Linked DNA regions of Schizosaccharomyces pombe. Changing the gene in region 2 together with the main gene of any one other region gives a genetic interaction. Each region holds a gene or a part of one and is shown on either strand. Other genes may lie near its edges. The genes, in order: sfp1, mug62, xap5 and dak1.

Evidence for each region.
Region 1: mutations in mug62 (region 2) and sfp1 together harm fitness more than expected from each alone (negative genetic interaction), as found in Schizosaccharomyces pombe (one large-scale study listed by BioGRID).
Region 3: mutations in mug62 (region 2) and xap5 together harm fitness less than expected from each alone (positive genetic interaction), as found in Schizosaccharomyces pombe (one large-scale study listed by BioGRID).
Region 4: mutations in mug62 (region 2) and dak1 together harm fitness more than expected from each alone (negative genetic interaction), as found in Schizosaccharomyces pombe (one large-scale study listed by BioGRID).

Annotation. Positions count from the first base shown.
Region 1 is NC_003424.3:4,431,360-4,436,485, reverse strand, and holds sfp1 (transcription factor Sfp1), read left to right. Parts: upstream 1-1,972; 5' UTR 1,973-2,853; coding exon 2,854-4,182; 3' UTR 4,183-4,617; downstream 4,618-5,126. Other genes in the region: SPOM_SPAC9E9.02 (uncharacterized protein), read left to right, coding at 573-869; SPOM_SPAC9E9.01 (uncharacterized protein), read right to left, coding at 1,285-1,547, 1,589-1,625; tRNA dihydrouridine synthase Dus3, read right to left, coding at 4,901-5,126.
Region 2 is NC_003424.3:697,433-704,504, forward strand, and holds mug62 (putative AMP binding enzyme), read right to left. Parts: upstream 5,324-7,072; coding exon 5,171-5,323; exon of another isoform or gene 5,126-5,170; coding exon 1,978-5,125; exon of another isoform or gene 1,932-1,977; coding exon 1,716-1,931; exon of another isoform or gene 1,673-1,715; coding exon 1,452-1,672; exon of another isoform or gene 1,410-1,451; coding exon 1,048-1,409; exon of another isoform or gene 1,010-1,047; coding exon 791-1,009; exon of another isoform or gene 746-790; coding exon 601-745; downstream 1-600. Other genes in the region: GTP-binding protein involved in beta-tubulin folding Alp41, read left to right, coding at 1-23, 64-136, 189-334, 373-453, 496-636; ATP-dependent DNA translocase Rdh54, read left to right, coding at 6,357-6,535, 6,583-6,681, 6,773-6,848, 6,890-7,072.
Region 3 is NC_003421.2:753,218-756,810, forward strand, and holds xap5 (splicing factor, xap-5-like protein), read left to right. Parts: upstream 1-2,034; 5' UTR 2,035-2,039; coding exon 2,040-2,188; exon of another isoform or gene 2,189-2,251; coding exon 2,252-2,969; 3' UTR 2,970-3,073; downstream 3,074-3,593. Other genes in the region: SPOM_SPCC1020.13C (DDHD family phospholipase), read left to right, coding at 1-72, 136-876, 918-1,414.
Region 4 is NC_003424.3:1,175,383-1,179,451, forward strand, and holds dak1 (dihydroxyacetone kinase Dak1), read left to right. Parts: upstream 1-1,537; 5' UTR 1,538-1,682; coding exon 1,683-3,425; 3' UTR 3,426-3,515; downstream 3,516-4,069. Other genes in the region: ept1 (CDP-alcohol phosphatidyltransferase class-I family protein), read left to right, coding at 1-399; exosome subunit Rrp40, read right to left, coding at 3,827-4,069.

The DNA.
Region 1 (5,126 bases), 3.7 Mb from region 2:
GTTGCGTATAGGAAGAATTGAATCTGTCTCACTTGAATTGTATGCGACAATGTCGTTTTGATGTTGTTGACCCATACTCTCTTGACACTTGTTTACTAATGTCATTTTTTCATTTTTTTCTCATAGACGATAGATTACTCCTTGGGATGTATGAATTTCTTTATCGTTTTCTTCAATTATTAATCCTATCAAATTGTCTGTAGTTTTTCATTCATGAACCAAGTCAGAATCACTTTTATCTTGGTCCTTGTTCATATCCCTTCGCTTGCCATAGCGCCAGCGCCCTTGACATCATGGTAGAGTGTGTTTGATATAGAAGCATCATAAACTATCCAATGGCCAGAACCCTAGAAGATTGCTGAGAAATGTAATTAAAACGTTGTAAATTCATTGCCTTTGGTATTGAGTGTGATGCCTGCGAATTTCATCTTTTCAACTACTGACCTAAGTGTGGTGGATATGTGGACAAATGATGGGATTGTTAAATAATGAAAATGATGCTTAAGAGTTTCTGGAAGAAAACGAAGAATTGATAGATTGGACATTTGACGTTGACTTTCCATTTCTATATAATGGATGTGGATTTCGCTAATGCCAAACACAAACTGCATTGTTTATTAAAAAAAAATTTCCTCTTAACGATTCGATTCAGTTCATTGGTTTCAATACAATACATCCCATTCTCCAATCGTTTGTATGAAATCATCAGTATTGCTCTAAATCCTTGCAATTTTTCTAAAAGTCTTTTTTGGTTACGAAAAAAAATAAAAAACTCCGTTCTGTTAAAAACTTCCTTTGATTCTAACGAAACAATTTTTTTTTTATATTCTCTTCATCGTTGTGTGTATTATCTTTTCATTTATCTGTGATAATACCGATTCTTTATTTATTTATTTACTTAGTTATATACTTGTTATTCCATTCTGTTCCTTTGTTAGTTACTGATCTTCACCTTACTTTCAATCATTTTCTTTTGGGTTGTTGTAAGGTTTATATATTTGGTTTATCTTGTACGATAGTTTGTTTTTTTCTTCATTCGCAAGCTATTCTATCTAGATATTTTTTTAGCTCCATTTCCTATAAGCTTTAGTTTTTCTTTTCCCTTTTCCCGTCTAATTTTTTCTTGTAAAATCGCTAGACGTCCATTTTCATTTTCTTGTTTGCTTGTCTTTTTACATCTCTTCCAAAAATATCCGTCTTCTCTTTACTAGCACAAAGAAGAGAAATATCCTTCCTCCATTTCAATTAAACGACGATATTTCTTTCATTTCATAGTCGTTTACTTTACCAATTAACCCTTGAAAGGACATTGTATCTCGCAAATTCCTTGAGTTTGCTTTCCCGGTAAATTTGGTATAACCGACAACGATCTTCATTGTCTGCCTCCATCCATTCCCCATTAGCTGCTTCACAACGTGACCAGACTGCGAACCCTGCCTCAAGTTTGATTACCGAACCAACATTTGAATCGCTAAACGTTTTTAGCCGCTTCGATTTTCCGAGAAACACATAAACAAAGATTGTGTGTGTTACTGTACCCGTGTGCACTTGACCGTATATTAGGACACTATAACGCTAAGCTGCGTACCGCTTAATTCTGCACTGAGCTCCAAGCCATCCGCCATCGTTCATTTGCGACCCTTTGTCTAGAAACTATTCGCCCCTTGTCTTCGGCCCCATCTATTGGAAGTAACGACCTTCCGATACGGCACTGACGAAGTTGCATTGTTACCCCTAATTACTTTGATCCAAGTTCGATCCACTCTGTGTACTCTGATTGGCTTTCTTATATTTAAGGGCCCCTCATTAGGTGTTTAAGTCTGAAAGCTTCACTGTTATTCGCTCGCATAGTCGGCGTCACTGTTACTTGACCCTTTTATCCTTGTTACCTTTATACATACGTAACGAGAAGGCTTGCTAAATCACCTTATCAATTACTACTTAAACACCGTCCTACCCTTCTTAACGCCTTATTCTGACTAACTTCAACGTGAGGACGACACGAAGGAAGCAGAAGCAAATATACTTACTTAACTTAAGGGAGTTAGTACAATCATAGAATTGTTGTTGAATACCATATATTCAACTTAAAAAAAATTAAACATATTTATAAAAAAAATTCGCTTGCAACATATATTGCGTCCACTAGTTGCCTGCAAAAAAAAGATTACTCTTTTGAAGTATCACCACTCTTTTCGATTGATCTCGATTGTTCATTGAATCAAAGCGTAAATTATTTACTATTTCGCTTTATTTTAAAAAAAAGTCGAATCGAACAGTTTCCTCGACTCGATTCGTTATTACTTGACTTTCTTTGTTGATTAAAAAGGATTCTTTAAAAGGTTTTTACTCCCTTTCTTTTCATCTTATTTATATTATACATTTATCATCCGTTAATCGCCAATTTGTTTAGACTGAAAAAATTAGATAAGTCACTTTGGGGTTTCCACTTAAAACATTACAATACACTAATTACACTTGGGTAATTTAGTGCTTAAAAATAGTTTACCTTCATTTTTTTGCTTGGTAAATTCTTCTTTTAGAAACTTTTTCCTTTTTTTTTCGAATTTATAGTTCGTCGAATTTCATTAGATTTTACATTCAGTCTTTTTTTAATTGCCTTTTTTTACCCCTCTCAGCGCTCTCTAAGAACTTGCCTTCCTTAAGTCGAGTTTTCTAAGTGCATTATTCCCTGATTTCTCAAAAAATAACTTACTAAATTATTTTGTTATTTTTATTCTATTTTTTCATCATTGGTATATAATTTTTAATTTGGTTTCTATTTATCGGTTTATCTTTTAATTTTCTCTTTTATCTCTTTAATTTTATTAATTCCCTTAAAAACTTTTCAATATGCCATCTCTCGCATTGCCTATCAATAAGCCTTCCCATCACAATGTCAACTACAACGGAAATTCCTTTAACAGCATTCATGCTACCTCTTTTGGAATGAGTCCACAGTCTTGGGGAAATAGCTTTAGTGGACAAGCTTGGCTTCGTGATACTATTCCATCTCTTTCTAACGTGGTTGAGTCACAAACGATTCCCGAAGAGGATTCTACCTCTTATCTAAACCGGTTAGAAGAAGCATTTTGCCGTGATTTCCGCTGCTGTGGTCAAACTCTCGAAGATTTGCATCAACTTATTCACCATTATGAAGAGCAGCACGCCGTTCTGGCAACTGATTCTGCTGTTCCTCAAGAATATTCTTTGGATAGCAACAACGCTGCTCAATCTAATCATTCTCATATTCAAGCGCTCAAACAGCGTGAGCGCATCCGTATGCATGATCTTGCTGATCAGCTTGGAACTTCTGAAATTTCTGATAATTCTGCTGTTTTACCATTTGCCTTTCCTGCTAACGGTGGTGCTCCTGGCCCTTACCGCGTTTCCGTTGTCGTACCTGCCGCTGCTGCTGCTGCTGCTGCCGCTGCCAGCTCCGACATGAGCAGTGACGAGGCCAGTAGTCAAGCAGAGACAACTGGTACCCCGAAAAAGATGCCTGAATCATTGGTAATGGATGCAAGCTCCCCTCTCAGTGACATGAGCATGTCTATTGACGTTGGTGAGTCCGCTGCCAATAATGTTTTTGCGTTCAATCAAAAGGACATGGTTGACTCTACATATCTTCCCCCATTCAATTACGATCACGATGTTTTTTCATTTGCTCCATCTGTCGCATCCGCCGATCAATTCACAGAGTCTAGCATGTCTCCTACTCCTGAAGTAGTTTCACCCGCAGCCACAAACTCAGCAATCTCATCCCCATTTGTTAGGAAATCTTCTAGTGATTTGGAAGCTAAGCCATCTAAAAAGCAGCGTTCTACTCCTGCATTCTCACACGATTCACCGCTCACTATTGATTACCCAGGCTCTAACTTGGTGGTTGTAGACAAGCCATACAAATGCCCTGTCCCTAATTGTGATAAGGCTTATAAGAATCAAAATGGTTTGAAGTATCACAAACTTCATGGACACTGTTCCCCCATTACTACTCCAACACCAGCTCCAATTCCTCATCAAGGGTTTGTTGTGGAAAACAAGCCTTATCGCTGTGAAGTTTGTAGTAAAAGATATAAAAACTTAAACGGTTTGAAATATCATCGTACACATAGTCATCTACAAGTGTCTATGGCCCAAGCTCAACGGGAAGTTCAAATGAACTTTATGCGCACCGCATAAATATGCTCTTTTTTGCCTTTGTAATATTTGAACATGAGATTTGTATCTCAGTTTCGTATCTTCAAGTTTGAATACTTTTATGTCTATCTTTGCTTTTAAGTTTGAGAAGGGTAGACATGTTGTGTGGAGTTTGCTTGATGTTTACGGGCTTGCATTTATCTGCATACAACAATCGAATTAGCTGTAAAGTGAACCTGTCTCCTTTGATTCATTCCCGTTAATTTTGCACTTACTTTATTACCTACATGATGGCTGTGTTTGTTTTGTTTGCTTTTTTTTTGTTTTTTAATTTTTTGTTTTGTCATTTTGGGATTCTGGATTTTTAATGGTTTTTATTGTGTATTAAGTTATTTTTGTACCAAATATCCTCTTGCTGTTATTATTATACCTTTTAAGTTAATAAATATGTATGGCAGTGTTATTTACCATATATTTGCTAAGTTATTTCACAACGTAGTTTCGATAGTAATTGTAGAGTACTGTAAGATCGTTGGTTAGTTCCCATTGGGTAAGTTGACTATATAACGTTAGATTCATTACCAATTTGCCTAGTCATTTGCGCATTTTACGAGACAAACACAGATCACTCGTATATAAGTCACCAGATATTTTATTAATCTACTTAATTCAATCCAGATGATAAGCCAGTATTAAGTATGAAAAGTTGATGATGCATATGAAGAAAGTGAATGCTCGATACACTAAGACCATAAGTTGTTTATCCCTCTGCCTCTTCCACACTATTGCTTTTGTGCTTTGGTGTAAAGGTGAATCGCTCAGGAGTAGGACCTAGGAAGAACTCACTCAATTTAACCCAGTCCGTAACTTTATTACTGGCCAAGAGAGTTTCCATCTCATCTCTCGCGGTATATAGAGGCGGTCTATCATTTAATCTGGGCCTTTGAACTTCGTACAAAGCTATAGGTGTATAACGATGGAAAAAG
Region 2 (7,072 bases):
TGAAGTGCCTGTTGAACGAGGATGTAAGTATCTTTTAAGGCTCCATAATTTATCGATTGATAGGTAAATGAAGTTTCGCCTACCTTTGGCTTTCAAATTCGAACGCTTGAAGTAGAAGGACTCCGATTCACGATATGTACGTAGCTTGCAATTTTCGAAATGAACAGTCTTAAGCTTACTAATTCAAGGGGACATTGGGGGGCAGAAAACGCTAAGAAATTTTTGGAAAAATTACTTTGAATCAACCGAAGCAATTATTTGGGTTGTTGACAGCTTGGATGATTTACGTTTAGAAGAATGCAGAAATACATTACAAGAATTGTTGGTAGAAGAGGTAGGCTGAAAATGTGAATTATCTTAACATGCATATAGAAACTTTTGTTTACTTCAATTTTGGTTCTCGCTAATAAGTCTGACGTTTCCGGCGCACTTTCATCCGAAGAAATTAGCAAAGTCAGTTTACAATTTATGAATCCAAGCTAACAACAAGTCAAGATATTAAATATTTCTAAATATAAATCATCGCATTGGCGGATTTTTTCGGTTTCAGCATTAACGGGCCTTAATATCAAAGACGCGATAAGCTGGCTTGCTAATGATCTAAAGGAGATTAAGTTGGGAACTATTGATTATTAAGTTTTCATCCGAGTAATCGTAAGAATCGGTTGTTCCAATCAACTCAGTACCTACAAAATCTTCGTTGAGAAGAAAGTCCTGTCGAATTAAATAGCTTGTCATGTGTTTCCTAAAATATTGTTATTTAGGCTTCTCATTAATAAAGATCACTTACAGGTCTCCTCCAGTCCATTGTTTTAGGATGTCTGCTCTCCTTTTCTCACCAGTTGGACGACGCAAAAATGTTCCTTTCGGTACGAAGGCAACACAATCAAGTATGATTTCATGTGCTGCCAAAGCCGTAGCAACAATAATTGGTATTAGGCTAGCGAATTTTTGCTGACTATGTACTTCCAGAAGAATTACTACGGATCCTGACGCTTGAAATAATATGCTGTGACATTAGCCTCTATAGTTTGTGATGCTACTTACCACCCATCTGTGCAAATGTTGGGATGCACTAATTCGATTGTTTCTTCAATATCCTTTACGGAATGGTTAAGCCCGTTTAATTCGAGCGTATTCCATATGAAATCTAAAGTATATAAAACTGGAACTTTTTCCATATTCTGGTCTTTTTTCTTCAAATGATGAATGAAACCTAACTGCCCTGTTCTCGAATAGCTCTTTTTATCTAATGTCTCTTGCACTAGAAGCTCGCATCCAGAGTTGAGTTCGTTGTTTTCACAATATGAGCCGTGCTTTCCGTTAATCCAAATTTCTCCAATTTCTCCTTCTTGACATATGTATTTTTCTTCAGGGTGAACTATGCATATTTCATTGTATAATGTGCTCTATATTAATTAGTAAATTGCTGCCTAATACTTTTCACGTACAGTTCCGGACCCATAAAGGAGTGGTTGTCTGTTTCTTAGGACATCCTCTCTTACGTTTACGAGACCGCTTCTTAGCTGATTGGCATCAAAGTAATCCTTCATTTTTTCCATGCTCGAATCCGCATTCCAACAAACGAAAGGATTGATCGGATGAGAGTATGCCAATTTTACCTTGTTGGGAGCTAGTCCAATTCTGGCGATATCTTCAATTATACTATTAACTAGGTCTTGTTAGTAAATGCGTCTTTCTGTTTTCCTACTTACCTCTAGAACTTATTGGTCTGTCGTAGCAAGGCACAATAATGCTTGACAAAGTGGAGTTAATAACAATGCTATTACAACCTTGAGCTGTTGAAAAGCTTTTCTGACAAATGTTAAGTGGAATCATAACCTTTGATAAAGAGTTTTGCTCGATAGCCTCAAAAAGCAGGCTACCATTGTTACATAAGTTTTCTTGTTTTATCAATAAAGTTGGTACTCCTATAATATGCGTTAATTATTTTTTTCACATTTTGAAAATATTTACCTGCATATACTCCAAGCAAGGCAGTATGCAATAGGCCCATTCCACTTGAGAATTCAATCCCACCAATGATTGGTTTTTCTTCATTTCCAATTACAAATTCTTTTTGTTCATGGCAAAATGCCAGAAGACTAGAATGAGAAAATTGCGTTGGGATGATGGAACCATCTTCCAGCTTATTAATACTAATTAGCGCGACTTTCCCTTTATTATTCAATTCCCCCGGGGTTATTAGATTCAATGCTTTTTTTGCACGTTTTGAAATGGGGATTCCAGTAGTTTCAAATATTTTGGGTGCCTTCATGTTGAGGTCAATGCAAGTTTGTTGAAAGTGATTTGAAATATCCCTGGATTTTAAAGATATAAGAACTTTATGATCAACAAGGATTGCTTCCACATTGAAGGCCTTTGCAATTTTTGTGAATTCTTCTATTTCCCCAATCAATTGTGATATTTCACGAATTTGAAACGGTATTGGTATCACCCCTAGGTGAAAGCAGCTATGTATGCTGATCAAAAACTCTAATGGGTCGTAATAAAGAAGTAAAATATGTGATCTTGCTTTAGCTTTAACTGATAACTGCATATATTCAACATGAGATGCAACTTTCAGCTCAAAATGGGCCCAAGTCAACTCTACTTTTGTTTTTTCGATAGCATTAAAGGTTAATATGGCAGGTGAAGTTGGTGTCTTTGCAGATTTGGTTTTTAAAAAGTCAAGGATAGTAAAGTGATTAAGCAGATTTTCTCGTGCTTTACTAACTTTGTTTTGATGCTTGTACGGATCCATCTTTTGTTTAACATTTAAAGAGATAATCTCTCTATGATGTTTGGAGGCATCTTTTGACCAAATTCCTTTTGAATTGTTTAAATTAATTTTAGATTTTGGTAATGCTGAATCCATGAAAAACCTAACATAGGATACAGGAAGATTTCCTGACAAAAAGGCCAGTTTACACTTATTCGTGTTGATTGCTTGGATTCCCATATACCTGGATCGAGGTAATGATTTGTAAGGAGCAATAAGTATGCTTAGGACATCTAATTTGAATATGTCTTGAGTGACTTGGAAGCTGCTCTCTGTTATTTTTACCAACTCTGAGAACAAATCTCTTCCTTTAAGCCGATTATTTCGAATTAACGAACGCTTAATAATTGGACTTTCAAGTACTAAAACGGAGTAAACTGCTTTGTCGATTTCTATTTCAAAGGCGACACCATCAAAAATTTCGGGAACATATTTCATGATTTTTTTAATCAAGTAATGAGAATAGTGTACATATTTTTCTTCCATTAACTTATCAGCGACCATTGTTTTCCGATATTGCCTGATTTGTTCATCTTTGTTTCCAAGAACAAAAATCTTTTCGTTATGCAAAAATCCTTTTAGACCACTATCCATGAATGAGTTATTCTTTTCAAATTTATTTTCTTGGTTGTTTTCGTAATCAGTTAATTGTTCCCCTTGTGGGTTGTTAATCACGCTAGCAGCTTTCAACTTAGGAAGACAATCAGAATAAACCCAAATTTCTCCAACTTCACCAACTTTGCATATATTCTTCGAATCTTCATTAACAACTGCCACTGATGCCTCAGGGATTGGATACCAAAAGGGAGACATGCAAAGGACTTCGTTAGGAGAATATTTTCGGATATCTAGAAATGGAACAATTTCCACTTTTTCCTTTTCTATTGAACTCTTTAATACCAAGATCTCTTGATAACAAGTATCGGCCATTTGCCGTTCATGTTTCTGTCTGTTGGTGTAACTGATCATCCAGTCTTTGAATGAAATAGGTATTCCACCAAACTTTCGCAAACATAATATCGGAGTGATTACCTCTTTGGAATTATTGGTACCTAAAGGTTGCAACCACCTATCTGAGACTATAATGTTGAATTCCGGGTCTACTACTTCGCATTCAACCATACACAACTTCAAGGACGAAAGGTTCGGTGTATAATTTTTTTTAAATGAAAGTGTAGATTTAGGATCCTCCTGATAATTGTACACTGTCTGCTTCAGTCCAGCATAATCAAACAAACTGTATGTACATCGATATTTAGTAATTAAATATGCTAATAAACCTGGCGTTTTTAGTACTTCTTCATCACAAAAGATGGTACAATATCCTGCAAACACAGAGTTGAATACCCCCATGATCAATCCTAATGGCATAGATGGATGGAAATTGGTAATGAGAACATCTTTCGAATCCTCAAAATTATGGAGCTTCCATCCAGCTTGACGAGCTGGATTGGTTATCATGGACGATGTCAGATTTCTCATCTGACTTAAAAATGTTTTCGTGGTATAAACAGCCTTAATATCATTATAGGTCGAGGAGCTGAACGTGTAATCAATGAGAACTGTGTCATTCGCACGCATCCGATACTGTTTGATTTGTTCAAATTTGTAGTTTGTAAAGTCGTTTGATTTCCACCATGCAAGGCTTTTTGCATTATTCACCTCTGTATCTTTTATGAAGATACGATAAGTAGCCTCTGTAGTAAATGCGACACGAACTTTTTCTTCATTGACAACCAACTTGAGACTTTCTGAAGATGAGGAAGGACTCAAAGGAATTACTACTATTCCAAGCAACAAACAGCCAAAGATACTAATAATATATTCTGAAGCTTCCGATTTTCGATAATATAAAATTACTCTGGTTCCAGGTTTAAGTCCAACGTGATTTTGCGCAACAGACGCAAATTGTTTAGCTCTATTCAGGATTTTATCCCAACTGTAACTCACAGCTTCTTTCCCTTTTTTATCGATACAAATATGAGCAGTAGAAGTTGGATTTTTATTTCTTCGATACTCAAGGACAGATATAATATCCTGCAGCGCCATCATTGAAAATGTTGGATTTCGTGGATCATTAATTTCAAATCTGGCTCTACGTGGAACTGTGAATTGTAGTTTTTCAGCTGCTGTGGCAGTTGATATATCTGCAAACAGCTTCTGAGATACTTTGGCCAATTGTGGTTGCAGCTCTGCATCCCTTGCTCTTTTCACATATTTTAACACTGGGTCTGGTATTGTCTCAAAAGGCAACTTGCTTTTATCTTCATATTTCGAATGCCTTACGGGATGGATTTTTTCGTTTTCTGAAGGTTTCATAAATCTCAGCACAGTATGACTATCCTTGAAATTTTTGCATTTAGTAATTTTTTTTTATATTACTCTTACCGTTTCACTTTTATAATAGACATCGTTTGCTTTCAGCATATGCGCATCTGTTCGAAGGGCTGAACCAGCAGAACCAATTTCAGATATAACATCCTCTTCTATGTCATGCAGTTTTGTCTTCTTATTGAAGTTGAAAAATGATTTTAGACTCATTTTATGGCTCACGTTCGCATACAGTTAGGAATTGAGGATTCCAAAGCTTGTATGAGAAATGTAAACAAATCGCTTATGTTACCTGTTACCTGATTGACTTCACTAAGGATAAACAATAACATTGAATGAAGTAAAAGTGTACTAAGTTTACAAATCCTAATTCAATTTAAAAATTTAGAAAGACTATGCTCTATCCCTGTTCCCCATCATTATTCATTTATGTGCGCAATTAATTTTACAAAATTAACAGTAAATACCAATCTTTTTTATACATATTAGAACGCAAAAAGTTGGATTGTATCAGCTTTTCGAAAAAAGATGCATCTACCAGGGATCGAACCTGGGACCGTCTGCGTGTAAAGCAGAAATCATAACCACTAGACTACAGATGCAACATACAACTAACAGTACTAATTAATATAATTTATTAACTAAGAAACCTGTCTTTACTAATAACGATTGAGAAAAAAGTGATAACAACAGGCTAAGCATTATGCGCTAACTTTGTTTAATTAAAAGTAAACATTCGCAAATTTTGTTGATAACAATGGACAAATTTAGTTGAATACCCCCATATTCATCGCTGTTTATTCTACCTTTCAGAAACTGTTCTTGTTAGTCAAAAGAAACAATACCTGAATAGAAACATTTTGCGGGAATTCATTCTTGCAAATTGTAGATAATTTATTTAATTTAAAACATTTTACGCTATAAATTTAATGATAAGTTACAAATTGCCGCCTTTTTTGCTTTAACATGATGAAAGTTAATTAGTAATAAAAAAAATTATATGAACAGAAGCAAGAGACCTTAATTTAGTACGTGTGATACTATTAATGTTTATTACGTTCAAAATGATGATTGTACCTAGAAGTGCAAAATATTACTAACCGATTTTTACGCGCATGCTTCAGAACTGCTTGCATTTGTCTAACTTGAACACCACACGTTCGGTCTCATAGTATTGTTGAGTAAATAAACACAGTTACCAAAGAGAATTGAAACCTTACTTTATTAAAACTGAAATCTGAACATGAAACGAAGAGCTACTTTTCAATGTCCATTAATTGAATCTACCATAAAACATCAATCTACTAATTATACCAAAACAGAAACAGCAACTACCTCACACGAAGTATCTGAAAATGCAAATGAACATAAAGGAAAATCAAATATCGACATAAACAAAATTGCTTATTACAATGTTGTATGGTATGGTAGCACAATCTCTTTTTTGACTTCATGACTAAACGCGTCAGGAGAAAAATTACTATGAAGAAACATAAAACATGGGAAGGGGATGGCTTTCTCGTTAGAGAAGACTCAAATTTGACTCTTTATAATTCAGATTTTACAAGGTATTCCTACATGTCGAACTTACTAAAAATGAAGTCGCAAACAATATAGCATCTTTTATTGAGAGATATTTTTTATTAATATATGTTAAAGACTCGGATCCTGTCATTCGAGGGTGCCACAAATCAAAGAAGGAGAATTGCTTCGCATTTCCGGGAAAGAAATATCTGTAAGATATACATGTAAGCGAATGTTTCTCATCATCTTTAGATTGAGAAGGAAATCTCTGCAGAAAGTTATGAAGCAGGCACACATATAGATGATTCTCTCCGAGACGTTCATATGCCTGAAATGAAGCGTAAATTCAAGCCACCTTTGAGACCTAACACAATGTACCAGACAATATCAGCACTACCCAAACCGAGGCATGATCCTACTGTGCTTGGAGCTTTG
Region 3 (3,593 bases), on a different chromosome or scaffold from region 2:
TTAATGGACCTAAACAAGTTACAGATCTTTTTTTGGTGGTTCATGGTATCGGTCAAAAAAGATCAGAGACTGGTAAGTAAACTTGATTTTTTTTTATCTTACACCGGCATTCAATTACTAATGTTGACAATATAGAGGAACGATTCTTATTTACCAAGACGTGCAACGTTTTTCGTTCATTGATCCAAATTCAGAAAAACATAATGAAAGAGGATCCGTTGATTCGAAACGATTATGAACCACAACTTCTTCCGATATGTTGGAGAAATAAGCTTAATTTTAATTCATATATAAAGCCAGTTGCCGGTGATGAAGGACGGGTTGAGGATGAAGAATTTGAAGAAAATCGATTTTCAATTGAGGATATTGAAATTGATAGCATTCCAGCGGTGCGAAGGTTATTAGGAGATGTGATGAGTGATATTCCCTATTATATGTCTCATCACAAAGAATCCATTATAAAGTCTGTAATTCGTGAAGCTAATAGGGTTTACCATTTGTGGAAGGACTGCAATCCTTACTTTTTAGAAAACAAGGGCCGTATCTTTATAATTGGGCATTCTTTGGGCTCCACAGTTGTTTTTGATATTTTGTCACTTCAACCCACTTTTGTCAAAGAAATTACTATAGACGATGATGAAAGCTGCTTTATATTCGACACAAACGGTTTTTTTTGTTTTGGTGGTCCGGTAGGTTTTTTTTTGCATTTGAATCAACAAAGTATTATTCCTCGTCGTGGAAGAGGCTCATCAAGATACGAAATAAATAAAAACTTTATAAATTCTGATGTTCCAAAGTCATATACTTACGATGGTTATGATCGGTACGGATGTCTCGCAGTCGACTCTTTTTATAACATCTATAATCACCTTGATCGTAAGCGCATCATTAAATTATCGTATTTACTAACAAATTAGCCGTTGCGATGCGATTAAATCCCACAGTGGATCTCTCATTTTCGAAAGGCATCCACCCAACTCGTATACTGTTCACAAGAAAATCTTCAAGTATTTTGAGAATGATCTCACATTCTAATACTGATCCTGTGGAACTTCGAAGTTACAATCAATCTTTGCAGCAAAATAAAAACAATGAGCCCACAGCAGTGGTCCCACTGGAGCCTGAACAGACTGTCGAGTTAGAGACTCGCAATTTTCGCAGAGAAGAAAGGGCCAAGTGGCGCATGCAAGAGTTGAATGAAAACTCTCAGTTGGACTACGTATTTACGAGTGCCCATGGGGTCATTTCAAACAAATATCTTTCTATGCTTTCGGCTCATAGCAGTTACTGGAGTAGTGAGGATCTTGCTTGCTTTTTAGTAGTGGAAACTGGCCGAAACTTTGGTATTGCCAATTCAATTGAGCAATTTCGTGGAAAGCATATGCCACGTATATTCAAAGGGGACAGCTCTTGAAAATTTTCTTTTTATTTTATCTGACAGTATACCAGCGAGCTTCATATTTATTAGCGATGCGAAGTGGACAAATTAAAATGAATTTGATGAACATTGGATAATGATGATTTTTTAGGATCACTTTAATGACTTTATATATTGGCATTCGAAAGATGGTTTTGCATTCAATGACCAGATACGAAAATTTATTAGAGTATTTATAGCAACACTAGTGATTAGCTAGTTTTTTTTTTGTTTTTAATCTATTGCTATTTTTCCAAAGCTTGTTAATACAAACGAGTAATTCGTTTTATTTGTCTCTAGATTGGTTTTAAAAAGTGTCTATACAAGCAGTTAAAGATTACAGAATGCTTCAAAGTGCCCCACCTCGTTGTTATTCTATTTAATAACCGTTTTGACAAATATAAAAAACTTATATGCAACGTGACTTTGGCAAAGTGTGCGTTTATTCTAGGATCCCTCATAGGTAAATGTAAAAAACATGTTCTTCTTCTACGATAAATATAGTAATAGTCATTTCTTTCATTTTGAGATTTGAAAACCGAGGCAAAAAAAGGGTATTTTGGGTATTCAAGCTTATTTGGAAGAACGCTCACCACTCACGTTTTTTTGAATTCTTCATACAATGAGCGGCCATACTGATGCCGATGAAATTCATGAGATTTTACGAAATAGTACGACTGGTTTAGTCCATTTAAAGGATTATCAAAGAGTAAAACAAAACATCGTTGAAAAACGAGAGAAACATGCGCTATCAACCACAAGTACTAAAATGTAAGTGAAAAGAACGAGAAAAGCCCGATAGTATTCTAAATATGACTGACAATTCAATTTTAGAAAAAAGAGAAAAGATGCTTTAAGCAAAAAGGTCAAACAGGGCATTAAAGTTAACAAAGGAAAACTTTCTTTTGGTGAAGATGAAGAACTGGAGAATGATGATCTACCTTTAAAAAAAGTTGAGAAAAAAATGTTTATGGGAAAGGATCCATCTGCGGATACCTCCTTTTTGCCAGATGCAGAGCGAGAAATACGTGAAAACGCGAAGCGAGCCGAATATCGCAAACAATGGCTAAAAGAGCAGGAGCAAATTCGGGAAAAAGAGATTTTGATACCATTTATCTATTACGATGGAACAAGTACCACTTATCATGTAAGGACTAGATTGAAAGATTCGGTTGGACACTTTCTTGCTGATATGAAACAGCAAATCCCATTTTTGAAGAGGATTCTGGATATGGATAAATTTTTACTGGTTCAATCTGATTTAATCATTCCCCATCACCATGAGCTTTACTACTTTTACATTAATAAAGTTCAAGGACGTGATGGACTTTTATTTGACTTTGATAAGCTGTCATGCTCTAGTCCAGAAATGGTTGCAACTACACAACTTCCTTCTCAATGCATTCCTCATCTAGTTCAAAAATCATATTATTTACAAAATCGCCATGTGTTTCCATGTGTGCATTGGGAAGTCTTTGATTCTCGAAAAGATTATTCATTGGAAAAGCATGCAACTGATCCTAACGCTGCATTATTTTACCGGCCCTCATAATGCCTTTTAAAAAGTTTTCGATTTTTTTTCTCTTGGTTCTTTATTTTTGTTTTGCATACTCATACTTCCCTCATCGACTAATTTAATAACAATTTCATTACAACTATATTGTTTTTATGTTTGTATTTTAAACAAATGAATTGCGCCAAACATATAACTTGATAAGCTATACAAAGAGAGAGACTTTGGTAAAAAAGAAACAGATATTATCCACTAAGTATTCGCAATGGGTTTTAGTATTTACACTTACTACTCTCAACATCACTCCAACCTTGACTGAAAACCTTGATTTCATTGATGTGCTATAGGATATTGTAAAATAAAGTAATTAAAAAATTAGCAATTCGCTTTTGGAATTATTAAATGTTTCCTTTATTATTGAATTCTCATATTTCTGCTTGTTTTTATTTAATGTATCGCAGCGTTGGTATGCAAATACATAGTATTTGATCATAAACATATTAACGATACGTTAATTTGCGGTGGATTATACTGTGCTATTTAGGTATACAATTTTTGGTAAAGAAAAAAGTGATCGTGACTGAATGATGAGAATAACTATTCTATTGTAAATAAGAAATGAAATTCGCTTTTCGTTCTCTTGGAAGTATAAGCATGTCGCTT
Region 4 (4,069 bases), 480 kb from region 2:
AAAGCATTGAGTGGTATCCTTCCCTATTTCCTCCAATGGATGGCTGTCTTTTCACTCTATGCCAAGTATCCTGCTTTCTTTGAACATCATTTCCTCACTATTTTTTGCTTGAACGCTTTTATCTTTGCTTATTCGGTTGGAGTGGTAATTGTTTCTCACATTACCGAATCTCCCTTCCCATACTGGAATGTGCTTATTCTTCCATTCTTGGTGGATGCCGTGGACGCCTATACTTTTGGCGTATTAAAAAACGTTCAGACGGAATACTTTTTTTGCTACGTTGGAATTTGCATTGGTGTTTACGGCAACTTTGTTGCACATGTCATTGCCATGATTACGGAAGAGTACGGCATTAAATGTTTGACTATTCCATCCAAACCAGAGTCCAAGAAGAATTGAACTAGATGATGATGGTTTGGACAGAATAGAGATGAGAACAAAAGGGTCCAGAGAGATTTTGTCATTGATAACCTTTCGGTCGATCTTTTGTTCTGCAATGTATCTAACGGATCAGAAGTATCAAAATGATCCATTTCCTAGTAGACAGGTTTTTTTCGGTTGTGTGTTTTCTGCCAACAATATGTTACTTTTGTTTGTTTTCCTGCTGTAGTAATAAAAGTTGGTTTTTTTACCAGAACATAATAATGAACAAGTATTTCACTTGCGACTTCGTTCACTAAATGATCCAGCCTTTCGTATCCTTTTAACTAACTGTATATACTGATGAACAAATGGTCCATTTGTCTTCTACACTGCAAACTTGCTTTTCACCGTGGAATACCGGGGCTGCACTAACTAAGATGACTGGTTCCACATGTGCAGACCGGAGCACTTTTCGACAACCTTCTTTTAATTAAGGTTCTTATGGCAGTTCGTAACGATTTAACAATTTCAATAAATAGCCATCGTCCTGTCCCATTGCTTCTTTGGGCATTGGTAGAGTTTGCCCTTTTAAGGCAATCTTTTGCTACATAAAGGTGACTCAAGTTTACGCTGCGATTTTACTACTTTTCTAGCATATGATCTACAAAAGGTCAGCGAAATTTTTCTTTGACTAGGAAAATGGATTGAGGTCATCTTCGGCAAGGCAAGCTGATATTTAATTTAATTGTTCATATCGGCAACATTTCGTAATTAGTTGAAGGGTATGAAAAACGGTTCTACGGTTATCTAGATGTGTTTATTCACTGTTTCAGCATAATATCACTTCCGTTACGTGCGGGGCACTTCGTCATGCAAATTGGTGGTTATATAGTATATATAGAGAGACAAGGCCAGCATTATTAAATCGTCTTCAAGCTCCCTTTTTCCGCTACACTCATAACTTTTACGAAATAGCGAAACGAAAACGAGACATAACGTAACGAAACGAAACGTTTACTAGTATATTCTTGGTTTATTTATTTTGTATTTAAACCAGTTGAAGCATAGTAGCGTATAAAGTGTTAATTTTTTCGCATTGAAGGGAATTTTGATATTAATATTTTGAGATTTTAGAGACACATAGATTTATTTCTTTAATCCTTTACTCACACTTGCACTTCCCCACCACCTAAAACAAGTCATTTTATATTCTTAGATCATAAATTTCGGGAATATTTGATTTAACTATCCAACTTATATTTAATTTTATTTTAAGGCTTTATTCTCTTTTTTTTACCTTTTTCTTATTATTCTAAAATATGGATAAGCACTTTATCAACGATCCTGAAGTCCTCGTCCTTGATGGCCTTAAATCCTTGGCCGACATGAACAAAACTTTAACTGTTCATGAAGAGGGAAAATTCATCTATTTCCATGACTACAACAAAAAGAATGTCAGTGTCATTTCCGGCGGTGGTGCTGGTCATGAACCCACTCATTCTTCGTTCGTGGGCAAGGGTATGCTTACTGCCGCCGTCTCAGGCTCCATTTTTGCTTCTCCTTCGTCAAAGCAAATTTATACCGGTATTAAGCAAGTCGAATCTGAGGCTGGCACCTTGGTAATTTGCAAAAACTACACCGGTGACATCCTTCACTTTGGTATGGCCTTGGAGAAGCAAAGAACGGCTGGTAAGAAGGCTGAACTTATTGCCGTTGCAGATGACGTATCAGTAGGTCGTAAGAAGAGCGGTAAGGTCGGACGTCGTGGTTTGTCTGGTACTGTTCTTGTTCACAAAATCGCTGGTGCAGCTGCCGCCAGAGGGTTACCTTTGGAAGCCGTTACGACCATTGCTAAGGCTGCTATTGACAATTTGGTTAGTATCGGTGCTTCACTCGCTCACGTTCACGTCCCTGGTCATGAGCCAATTGCAAAAGAAGATGAAATGAAACATGATGAAATGGAACTTGGAATGGGTATTCACAATGAACCTGGATGCAAGCGTATTTCCCCTATTCCCTCTATTGATGACCTAATCGCTCAGATGCTTAAGCAAATGTTGGATCAATCCGACAAGGACCGTGCCTATGTAAAGATTGAGGGTGACGATGAAGTAGTCTTACTTATGAATAACCTTGGTGGTCTTTCCATGCTTGAATTCAGTGCCATTAGCCACAAGGTGAAGGAAGCATTGGCTAAAGAATACAAAATCAACCCCGTTCGCATCTTTGCCGGTCCATTTACCACCAGTTTGAATGGCTTGGGTTTCGGTATCACTTTGCTCCGTACCACTGACCGCGTCAAAGTCGAGGGCGAAGAATACTCTTTGGTTGATTTGATTGACCAACCTGTTGAAGCTATCGGATGGCCTTTGTGTCAACCCTCTGACTTGAAGTCCAAAAACAAGATTGGCAATGTCAGCATCGAGGAGGGTCAGAAGGATGTCAAGTCTCCCGTTACTGTCGATAAGGAGAAGGTTCGTCAGGCGATTGTCAATTCGATGGAGAATCTCATCAAAGCAGAGCCTAAAATTACAAAGTTCGATACGATGGCTGGTGATGGTGACTGTGGTACTACTTTGAAGCGTGGTGCTGAAGGTGTTTTGAAGTTTGTTAAATCCGACAAATTCTCTGACGATCCTATTCGTATTGTTCGTGATATCGCAGATGTTATTGAAGACAATATGGATGGTACATCTGGTGCTTTGTACGCCATTTTCTTCCATGGCTTTGCGAAGGGCATGAAAGACACCTTGGAGAAGAGCAAGGACATTTCATCTAAGACATGGGCTGCTGGTTTGAAGGTTGCTCTTGATACTCTTTTCAAGTATACTCCCGCTCGTCCTGGTGACAGCACTATGTGTGATGCTCTTGTTCCATTTGTCGAAACATTTGTTAAAACTAATGATCTTAATGCTGCCGTAGAGGAGGCTCGTAAAGGTGCTGATGCTACTGCAGATATGCAAGCCAAACTTGGACGTGCTGTCTACGTTGGTGATGATGTTAAAGTTCCCGATGCCGGCGCTCTTGGTGTCGTTGCAATTGTCGAAGGATTTACGAAATAATTGGATACGAAATTTTTTTGGGATTGTAGAATTGGTATGATCTTAAAAACTATTTACGAGCACGAATAACAATTATATTTTCATTATGCATGCATTAATTATTGCTTACTTATCTTTGCATCTGTATTTGTATATTCATGCATTATAATAAGTAATTTTTTAATTAAAACAGTTGAGAAAGGACGAGTGTAGATATTGTATGAACACGCTGCTGTAATAAATAAAAGAACGACAGAAATTGTATGGGAATATTAGACACAGGCATTAAAGAAGAAACAATACACTTTATTCAGAAATGGTCCCTCCTAGATAAGGGCAAACCATTTTTGAATTAAACCCAATTGGACAAGAATTGTTAAATAGACTGTGCATATTATTCAAATTTTTTTTTCTGAATCTCGTTAGAGCTTTTTAATAAGGTCTTTACAGTACTTTATTTGCTCTTCATCAGACATGAATTCGCAATTTCTGATAGCTGTACAAATGAGGACCGTAGTAGAAAGATTTTCAGAATTGACCCAAACGCGACCATTCATTCCAACAGCAATTTCGAAAGGAATGTAGCTTCCTAGGGTCTGTAAAAGTGTATTTTTAGGAAGGATCAACTTCCTACAATGAGATAAAGATAAACCTGTTATCATATA